Linked DNA regions of Mus musculus. The protein of the gene in region 2 interacts with the protein of the main gene of each other region in a pairwise test. Links are inferred from orthologs where the notes say so. Each region holds a gene or a part of one and is shown on either strand. Other genes may lie near its edges.

What was found.
Region 1: the proteins of Cbx5 (region 2) and Prr14 interact in binary tests that used the Homo sapiens proteins (3 or more experiments, as listed by UniProt). The two-hybrid records come from large-scale screens. The link is inferred for Mus musculus from reciprocal best matches to the Homo sapiens genes CBX5 and PRR14.
Region 3: the proteins of Cbx5 (region 2) and Incenp interact in binary tests that used the Homo sapiens proteins (3 or more experiments, as listed by UniProt). The link is inferred for Mus musculus from reciprocal best matches to the Homo sapiens genes CBX5 and INCENP.

Annotation. Positions count from the first base shown.
Region 1 is NC_000073.6:127,474,577-127,477,373, forward strand, and holds the end of Prr14 (proline-rich protein 14), read left to right. Parts: coding exon 1-143; intron 144-475; coding exon 476-1,049; intron 1,050-1,180; coding exon 1,181-1,250; intron 1,251-1,330; coding exon 1,331-1,422; intron 1,423-1,645; coding exon 1,646-1,717; intron 1,718-1,807; coding exon 1,808-2,084; 3' UTR 2,085-2,182; downstream 2,183-2,797. UniProt on the Homo sapiens protein: Functions in tethering peripheral heterochromatin to the nuclear lamina during interphase, possibly through the interaction with heterochromatin protein CBX5/HP1 alpha. Might play a role in reattaching heterochromatin to the nuclear lamina at mitotic exit.
Region 2 is NC_000081.6:103,237,499-103,241,250, reverse strand, and holds the start of Cbx5 (chromobox protein homolog 5), read left to right. Parts: upstream 1-1,398; 5' UTR 1,399-1,518; intron 1,519-3,752. Other genes in the region: Hnrnpa1 (heterogeneous nuclear ribonucleoprotein A1), read right to left, coding at 55-171, 723-737. UniProt on the Homo sapiens protein: Component of heterochromatin that recognizes and binds histone H3 tails methylated at 'Lys-9' (H3K9me), leading to epigenetic repression. In contrast, it is excluded from chromatin when 'Tyr-41' of histone H3 is phosphorylated (H3Y41ph).
Region 3 is NC_000085.6:9,896,595-9,900,346, forward strand, and holds the start of Incenp (inner centromere protein), read right to left. Parts: upstream 2,896-3,752; 5' UTR 2,745-2,895; intron 1-2,744. UniProt on the Homo sapiens protein: Component of the chromosomal passenger complex (CPC), a complex that acts as a key regulator of mitosis.

The DNA.
Region 1 (2,797 bases), on a different chromosome or scaffold from region 2:
ACGCCCAACTCTTACTTTGTCCCTTCACCCGAGAGCTGAGCCTGTGACAAAAGCTGGTCAGCCAATGCCTACACCCAGTGACCTAGAACCCCCATTCCAACTGTCTACTCTACCTGCAGATCCTCCAGAGAGTCCAGTACCAGGTAAGGACTCAAATAGAGGAATGAGACTGAAGAATTTGGAACTGCCACGGTTAAGCTTGAAACAGGAGGAGCAGAACTGTGGGTGGAGCTTAGCCGGCTCCCTTGGCAGAGCAGGCTGTGTAACAATGGGATTTAGGCTCAAGGAGTTGAGCAGTTATGGCCTTGCTTTGCAGTACTGGGGATCAAATCCAGGGCTTATGGCATTAGGCAATCCTATTACAGCATTTTAGGAGCAGGCTCACTCCTCTAGAGACAGATTAGTGTTTGGAGGAAGAAACTGAGGCTTCTGAGGTAATGTTTTAGTCACCTGAGCGTCCTTTCTCCAACTGCAGATCCTGCTCTGGAGACCCCGGTGATTCCAACATCGTCAAGCCTTTTACGACCCCGTCTCAGTCCCTGGGGCTTGGCCCCTCTCTTCCGTTCCGTCCGATCAAAGCTTGAAAGCTTTGCTGATATCTTCTTCACACCTAACAAAACACCACAGCCTCCACCCCCTTCACCTCCCATGAAATTAGAATTGAAGATTGCCATCTCGGAGGCTGAGCAGTCCAGGGCTACTGAGAAAATTACATCTGTCAGCCCCAGGCCCCCTATCCGCCAGTGGCGGACTCAGTGCAATTCCCTAGCACCTGTCTCTAAGTCATCTCTGGGACGAAGCTACTCCTGCCCTGATCTAGGGCCCCCTGACCCAGGTAGCTGGCCTCCTGTCCCATCCCAGCCAAGCCAGTCCAGGCCCCGGAGACATACTGTGGGTTGTGGGGAGATGGCCCGGACCCCACCACCTCCTCGACCCTGTCTCCGGAAAGAGGTCTTCCCTCTTGGAGGAGTGGGAGTCTCTCCTTCTCTCACTACATCTTGCTCAGCCAATGCCCCTGCTTCCTTCTTCTGCGAGCCGGCAGAACCCAGGTAGTGCTCTCACTCCCCCTCTGGAACTCTGGCCTCAGCCTGAGCCTTGCCTCCCTTGCTTAGTATTCACTGGCAGAAGACGAGTGCATTGCTGTGTATGCCCTTGTCCTGACTGTTGACCATCTCTGCAGGTTGGGTTCAACGAAGGGGAAGGAGTTAAGAGCCTCAAAAGACAAGGTGTTTTCTGATCCAGAGACCAAGGTAATGAGTGAGTATAAAGACAGGAGCCAGCCAAGGCCTGAGCCCAAGCCTTTCTTTCACCCTCTGCCCATTTTTTGCAGACCATGGGGAAGGTTTCTAGATTCAGAATACGGAGGACACCTGTCCGTCTCCAACCAAACCTTACACCAATGGGGCTGCCTCGACCAATCAGGTAAGAGGCTCAGAGAGCAGGGAGCTACCTTGACCAAGTAGGTGACAGTCCTAGTCCTCTCAGGGAGCATAGGAACCTGGGACATTACATTTGGCATGGACATGGCGTGTGCATAGAATCTCCTCACCTATCACTTCTGACTCTCACCTGGCCCAGAAACCAAAATTCCCATCAGCATCAGGCTTTGCCCATATCTTCAGTGCCCTCTGCTCTTTGTTTCCAGGTTGAATAAGAAGGAGTTCACTTTGGAAGAAATTTATACAAATAAGAACTACCAATCACCCACAACCAGAAGGTGAGAAACTTGGAAGGTCTGAGGGCAGTAGAGGGCTGTTTGAACCAGGGAGAATCCTGGTAAAGATCTCTTGCTCCCTGCCTGACCCAGGACCTTTGAGACCATCTTTGAGGAACCACGGGAGCGCAATGGAACTCTGATTTTTACCAGCTCTAGGAAGCTCCGAAGGGCAGTAGAATTTCGGGACAGTAGCCTTCCTCGATCCCGGCGACCATCACGAGGGGTCCGCACCGCAGCAAGCAGAACCCTTACTCCCAACCTGGCACCCAGCCAGGATGTGGGGTCTCTACTGCAAGAAAGGCTGAGGGAGCTAGATGCCTTGCTCCTGGAGGAGGAGACAGATAAGGAACACCCTTGTCACCTCTAGGAGCTCCAACTATTTGTCCATCCGTCCTTTAGGTAGGGGAGAAATCTCTGAATCAATTGTATTTTTTTTCTCTATATTTCTATAAAGTTTTCAATATATGTTTCTGACTCCTTTGTGCCTCCAGCAGAGTTTGAAATCAATTAATTAAATGAGCTGATGTTTTTATGTTGGTCACCAAAGGACTAGAAAACAGGAGATAGTAGCAGAGAAAAAAAGGGTTGCAAAAAAAAAAGAAAAAATGCAGTGGTCACTGGAAATTGCCCACCCCACTCTCATCCACTGGCAGGGCTGGGGGATCAAACCTAGAATCTTGTATATACTACCTCTGAGCTCCATCCCCAGTCCAGAGATGACACTTGAGAGCTGCTTTATGTGGTGCTATGTATACCATGGATACACAACTCTTACATCATAGAATGAAAAGGCCTTGGAACAGGTTAAGGCCTTGAAGATGTTATTTACTCCTCCCAAATGCTGCCATCGCCAACTTAGGACAATCTATCATAGAGAGTCGACCGGCACAAAGTCTGTTAGGGAATTTATCACTATTTTATATCGACAAGAAAACAAGGGTTGTCAAGGAAATGTCCACATTAAAAGAACAGCCAGGGCCAGTGAGATGGCTCCACTGAAAAAGCGCTTGGTACATACATAAGCTTAGTAACCAGAGTTTGATCCCCAAAACCCATGAACATGTTGAAGACTCTACAAAG
Region 2 (3,752 bases):
AGATTAAATCGGAAGAAATAAGCCAGCTCTTCCTTTTGTTTCTTTTAATCTTACCACACAGTCTGTTAGTGTTCCCCATTGCTCAAAATGGCTCCTCAGACTCTCGTCGGTTGTTTCGAAGCTCAGCCCTCCGATGAAGAGCTTCCGCAGCTGTTCTGGCTCCTTGGGAGACTAAAGTGGAGGAGGGAGTGTTTAGCGGAGGGGCTGGAACCTGGGAAAATGAATCAACACCCCGCAACAACACATGCTACACTTTTTTATTGTTCTTTATTACTGCACGAGACCACGTGCTCCTTCCTAGGCTAGGAGGTGCTGCTGGGGATTCACTCGAGTTGCACGCAGCGCATGCGTCCTTACTTTTACTTCATACGCACGCGCAACAAAGGGCACAGGTTAGTCGGGTCCATCCCCATTAAGACTTAATATCTCTTTAACAAGCGATTGTTAGACCAGAATGGGGGAGGGGAAGAAAAGGCCACACTCCCCAGATCATTAGTCTGTGAAGTTTGCCACAAGGAACAGTGCATGGACGTTAATGGCGGTCGGATCGCAGCCTCATGGTGACTATGAGGACAAAATGGCGACCTGCATTTTTTTAAAGTAGGCCTCAGCACTAATCGATAAAACACCGAAACCACGGGTGCGAGCAGCAAAACACGTCACATCCCGCTATATTCAGTAAGTGTGGAAGAAAGAGAAGCTGCAAAGCGCATCCAACTTACCTCGGACTTAGACATGACGGTAGAGTTACGAGAGCCTTCAGCGATGCTTCCTCGGCAGCGTCAAAGAGCAGAAAGGAATACGATAACGAACGTGCCCGCCAGCCTACCTTCTGCTCGCCCTTTTATCCCGCCTCCTCGCTCTCGGTATTGGTAGACTCCGCCCTTACTTGAGTCTTATTGGAGATTTGAAATTATTCCCTCCCACCATTGGCCCGTGAAGACGCCCTGCTAAGAAACGGCATCCGTTTGGGCGTTCTATTCAGACTCCGCCCCTTTGAGTCACTGATGCCCCAAGGGATCTTATCCTTAATCGCATTGATTGGCTAACTAGCCAGTCACTTATATTTGAATGTATTCACGTCTTTTAAATGCCTTTCATAACTTTCCCACACCCGAACATTACAAACTCACTCGTCAAAGGACCGCACGCTACAAAGTAGCTCACCGCGACTTTTCCCAGCCACTCCCTATAAGGCGCATGTGTAATAAAAATGGCGAGTTCACGCCGGCGCACTACGATGTTCCGCCTGCTGCCTGGAACACGTGAAATGGCGGGCGGGAGAGGGTTGTGAACCTAGGCGCCTGCGTAGTGGCGGGACCAGCGTCCAGTTTTGCGCAGGCGTTTTGGGCGGAGAAAAGGTCCAAGCCCAGGATTGGTTGCGCAGGCGCAGGGAAGGATCCGTTTTGGCGGGCGGTTGGCATTGCGCAGAAGGCGGCGGTAGCGGTGGCTTGTGGTGCCGCTTTACCACAGAGGAACCGTGCAGGCCTTAGCGTGAGTGATCACTTTAGATCTTGGGTAAGTGGCAGAGTCTCGTCTACCCGTACGAGATCTTGAACCCGCTCCCATTGCACCGGTTATTGTACGAAATGAATGGACCGCTGAACTGGTGGGGGGGGGGGTGGACGACGACAGTGAAGGGGCCGCGACGGGTCGGGCCAGCCAATAGGACAACTGGGGCGGGATGTTTTATCCTTGCAGGTTCTGTGAAGCTGCCTTGCCGAAGCATTTGACTGGCGAGCCTATAGGCCAATTGGGTTTTCCTATAGCTGCCTACCGATCGGTCCTTGGGCCATCGGAATGTGGGAGGCGGGTTTTTCTCGCCTGAGTTGCGTCTCTCCGAGCCAATGAGCCCCAAGCGCGCGATTGGCCGGCCTTCCCCAAGAGGCAGAGGCTGGACTCCTGTGGGGAGCGCGGGAGTTGGCTGGTTAAATTCTTAGAGCAAGCCAGGAGTCACTAGAAAGACAGGATTCCCCCCTCCCCCCCCCAATAAAGCTTACTCTTGCATTTGTGGGGGCGAGTATTTTAACTTAAAATGACTCCTATAACTAAGGCATTCATTCTGTATATTACCTTAGGGAAAACATATGTTTTCTTGTGGCCCTTGAGTTAATCATTTTTCTTGTAGTTTTTGGTACGTTCCTCCCTTCACTTGAGACTTTGGAGAACGTGCCTTTAGTCTTTGAAAACTTTTAAGAGAAGAATATTGAAATTTTGAATGAGATGACTTAGGTAAAGTACTTGCAATGAAAAGCATCCAAGAAAAATAGACTTAACCACTAGCACCCATTTCCAGGGACACTGTATTTGTATTTCTATCTCTATGAAAGTTTTTGAGAGTTACATGTCAAAAGTCAAAACGTGTTGCTTCTATGGAAACAGTGGGGCCAAGGCCTGTATGTTTGAGGGATAATTGTCATTGATGAAATAATGAAAACCTTAATAAAAATAGACACATTTGGTTTTTTGTTTGTTTGTTTTGTGTCATCATGTACTTGTCACCACCATTCATGTTCCCAATTCTTTTATCTGAATCTCTTCTCCGAAGAACATTTTTCTCCCCTAACATTCAAGATACTCTAAGCTCCTATTTCTGCTGTTCATTTGAGGATGTCTGGTGTGGGGTGAAAAAGCTGATTCATTTAGGAGGTATTTAGGGTGTTGGGGACAGAAGACTCCACCATATCTTGAGTTGTTATTCATTGTTTTGATTCCATATATTTTTGTATTTTCTCTGCAATTTTGTTGGTGTTGATAATACCCACACTTCTCAGAGTATCTAGACAAATGTATAATTTCCATTTATTATCTGTGTCTGTTGATTTATTTATAGTCTTTGAGGTAGAGGTACCTCATTGTGATAAGAAAATTCCAGCCTGGCGTTAGTGGTCATTGCCTTTAATCCTAGCAGGAAGATGGATATCTGTTTGAGGCCAGCCTCCTGGTCCATGTAGTGAGTTACTTGACAGCCAAAGCATAATCAGACCCTGTCTCAAAAACGAAGAAAAGAAAGAAAAGAAGATAGTTTCATACTTTTTACAAAAGACTGATGATGCCGGGTGGTGGTGGTGCACGTCTTTGATCCCAGCACTCGGGAGGCAGAGGCAGGCGGATTTCTGAGTTTGAGGCCAGCCTGGTCTACAAAGTGAGTTCCAGGACAGCCAGGGCTACACAGAGAAACCCTGTCTCGGGGGGTGGGGGGGGGGGGACGGACGGACTGATGATTTCAATTTAGTTTTCTGTTTTATGTCTCAGGCTGGCCTCACATGAAGAGATCTACCTGTTGGTGCTATCATGCTTGACAGGTTTTTTTTTTTGTTGTTGTTGTTTTTTTTTTTTTTTTTTGGGTTTTTCGAGACAGGGTTTCTAAGTATAGCTCTGGCTGTCCTGGAACTCACTTTGTAGACCAGGCTGGCCTCGAACTCAGAAATCCACCTGCCTCTGCCTCCCAAGTGCTGGGACTAAAGGCGTGTACCACCACCGCCTGGCGCTTGACAGGTTTTAGTGATGTTTCTAATGAATAGAGATTTCCATAGTCACTGGCACTTTAAAAAGGACAAACATATTATACAACCATTAGCTGCTTATTTACACTAACAGTGCAACTTCAGTACTGAGCTCTAAAGTGATAGTGGACTCACGGCATCTACCTAGATATGGTTCAGAATATTTTTTTTTCCTTCCAGACATGGTTTCTCTGTGTAGCCCTCATTCTGTAGACCATGCTAGTCTTGAACTCAGAGATCCGCGAG
Region 3 (3,752 bases), on a different chromosome or scaffold from region 2:
GAGTCAGTTCTGCTCCTACAAGTTAGTTCTGCTCCTGAAACTTAATGCCCTTATACACGTAGCCTCTAGGGTCTTCCCTGACGTTCTTCAGCCTGATTTGTGGGGCATACTACCTTTGCCCTTCATCCTGTAACCCCTCACTGATACTACTGTAAGTAACAAAAAACATTTCACTGGTTCACAAAGTTGGACTTTGGTGGTGGGTATCCATACTTTGGTCTACTGTGGGTTCCTATCTAGGGGTAAACGGAGTGTGTGTTGCATCTCCCCAGGTAAAGCTTTGTCACACAACATGTTCATATATATATATATATACACACACACACACTATACAAGTAAACAAGTAAATAGACACTAGAGCTGAGCATAGTTCGTTCTATGGTCCCAAACATTTGAGAAATTCAGGAGGATCATTTCAAGGTTATGCCTAGCTACATAGCAAGTTTAAGGCCAACCTAGACTACATGAGACCCTGTCTTTAATTTGGGGGCGGGGGGGGGGGAGTCAGTAGATGGAAATGTGCTATACATTCCACAGGAATGCATAAGAAATGAGGGGTCCAGAACCATGTTCTCCAAAGAGACCTCTGAAACCCTCCCTAAAGCCAAAATGTCCTATGAATGGATGAGGGAGAGCGAAGTGAGTGCGCATGCAATGTGCTGCTTTCAGGAAGACCTGGCTGTCAATACCAGGCAAAAGACAATGCAGTGCCAGTTTACCCACTGCCTTAAAAAGCTGGGAGCTTGGATATCTGCCGTACGACCTGACTATATAATCCTAACAAAGGTCCTACACTAAGTGGGAGGATTCTGATACTGTCATATCAGGGCCCCCGATAAGCAGTACCCCAAGTGGTAAACACATGAAAGATCAAGAGTGGGTGGCAGCTATGAGCACTAATATATCGGATCCCACCTTATATAAGGACAGGAAGTTCCCACCATGACTTACACTTTCAAAAGCAAGAAGCATGCATACACACTTCAGCCTCTCAGCTACAGAAAAAGGTCAGGGAAGAAAGGGCTATATTACTGATCCTCTTGGAACATAATGCCATCATATACTGTGGCCTCTAGGTTCTTCCTTGAAGTTCTTCAGCCTGATGTATGAGGCACACTACCCTTTTGCCCTTCAAACAAGTTCTGGCCTCTAGGAACTCTGTCTCCTGTTTTGTACAGCTTCTTCACTTAGCTTTCAGCTCCTTAAGGAGGATCAGACCTCCAATCCAAGCCAAGATCTCACACACAGATTCCAGCTATGTGCACAGCAAATGAGTGATTGTTTATGTTTGCCTACTGCTGGCCTCTACCCACTAACCTGCTCTCTGAGGGTAAGCCTTGTGCCTTCCTCAGCAACAAAAGAGTCTGGCACTTGTGGAATGAATTCATTCATCCATCAACTAATCCTAAAGGTTGTCTCACCATCACACACTGGGACACTCAGTGAGCAACTCAGTAGGCACATGTTAGAACAGGCCAAAACACACCCTGACCTAACGGCCAAAGGCAGCACTAACTGGGGCAAAACCGAATGGATAGGGGCACTGAGCCTTTAGGAAAAAGCATTAACTGTGCAGCCAGCTACTCATCAGCATGGCCTCTCCACTGAGTCTCCCTATCCCCCTGCACCAGAAAACAGCCCTAGCCAAGTCCAAGGCCTCATCAGTTCAAGGCCAGCAAAGAGAAGAGAAAACTGCACAAGGACTCCAAAGACTTGCAGAGGAGCTATAAGAAAGTAACAAATGGGAAATTTTACAAAATGTCTGCTCATGCTACAATCGGAGTGAGCGCTTCTTTCACCAAGTCCAATACCACACTTCTTCTTCCATGGGGAAATGTGCTTTCTAGCAAGCCCTCGCTGAAAAGTTAGAAAAGGTGACTCTGAGGAAAGGAGGAGGTGTAACAAGAATCAGACTCCTGGGTAACTTCACCTTCAGTCCACGAAATAAACAAACCCTACCATGGGAGAAGGAAGGTCACTTCCTCTCCACAAATACTATTTCTGTGCCATTCAGCAGATTAGCAATTGCCATCTCCTCTGGGGGTGCAGGAAATGAACTAAGCATTTCTCCCCACACACACCCCTCCAAGCAGGAAGATCGATCGCTAAAACTGCTCTTCCACTCAAGAGTCCTACTCCATGCCAAGAAACCTCTCAATTCCTTTTTGCCACATACTCCAAGATACCCATGCACATACAAATCTAGGTCAAAGTCACCAAGAAAATCGGAGGGCGGAGCCTGGATTTAAAATGTTTTTTAACCACTAGCCACAGGCCTCCAGGACAATAGTTTCAAGCTCAGAATGACACAATCCCAACGCTTGGCAGCAGGAAGCTGGAGGGAACTGCGCCGCTGACAAGAGCCTACGCTTGCGGGGATGACAAAATAAGTAGCAGGGCGGTCTCCGGAGCTGGGTCAGTTTTTAAATGCTGCTCAGCTGGGACGAAGCTGAGCAGCCGTTGCCATAAAAAGACTCAAGTCCGGGTTTACAGAGCAGCCCAGGCTCTGCACAGGTGTTAGGCCCGGCGTGCGGGGAAGAGGACTGACCATTCTCGGATCCCAGGACTCAAGTGCAGGGCCTCGAAGTTCATCTCCAAGCCTAGAACCATTGGAAGTGATCCCCACACCCATAAGCAACCCATAGGCGAAAGTGACTCCCCTGGCCCATCCTGGGAAGCGAAGAGGCCGGGACCAGTGGCCGAACACCGCGACCCTGCGACTCCCGACGCCCGTTCTCACTCACCCGGCGGCGCCGCGTCTTCCCGGACCACTCCTTTTCCAGTCCGCGGCTTCCGCAGATTAAGCTTCCCGCCACGCCGGACCGGCTGGACTCCCAGTACCGCGAGCTCGCCGCAGGCGAGGACCTACCGGGCGAAGAGCGCGGGCGAATCTACGATTTTCAAAATTGTGGCTCAACCAATTCCCCTTAAGTTTGTCTGGGCGGTTACAAAACTCCAAACCAATCACGTAACAGGACGCACGAGTCCGCTTATCTGCTGGCTGTTAGTGCTGTCAATCTGTGGGACTAGGAGGCGGGGAGAAGAACGTTGACGCTTTTAACACGCCCCAACTTCCGGAAGCTGCGGCAATCTACCCGGCGAGGAAGTGGTTGCGACGAATTACAAGTCCCTGCGTGCACTGCGAAGGCAGGCTTGGTTGGGGAGGATGCCTATTTATCTTCGAGCCAGCCGCTTGGTTCGTTTCAAGTCCGGAATGCTTCTGCGTTCGGAATGACAGCTCTGCTACTTTGCAGTAGTAAAAAGAAACACATTGCAAATCTCACAGAGCCTTCCCTCCAAGAGCAGTCAGGCATATAGTTACAGAATGTTTCCTTAGACCTCCGATTGTCACCCGGAAGTGTTTGCTAAGTACCCTCCAGATTGGACGCCACATACAACGGAGAATTTTTCTGGCCACATATAAAGGTAAAGTCTTGAGTTGAAGGTGTGTCACCACCACCTGTAAAATAAAACACCTCCACCTTCTTTATAGAATCATTCTCAGTAGCCAAGAGGTGGGCGAAACTACAAATGTCCCTGGACAGATTAAACAGAGGGGTTTTATTTATTTTTAAATTGTTTTTCCTTTTATTGAAAATAGATTTCTTTACTCACATACTATATCCTGATACAGTTCCCCTCCCTCTGCTCCTCCCAGTTCTAACCTCCCCTTCCATCTGTATCCACTCCCTTTCAAAACAGACTTCTAAGGGATAATAATAAACTAAGATGTAAAACATAAGATAATACAA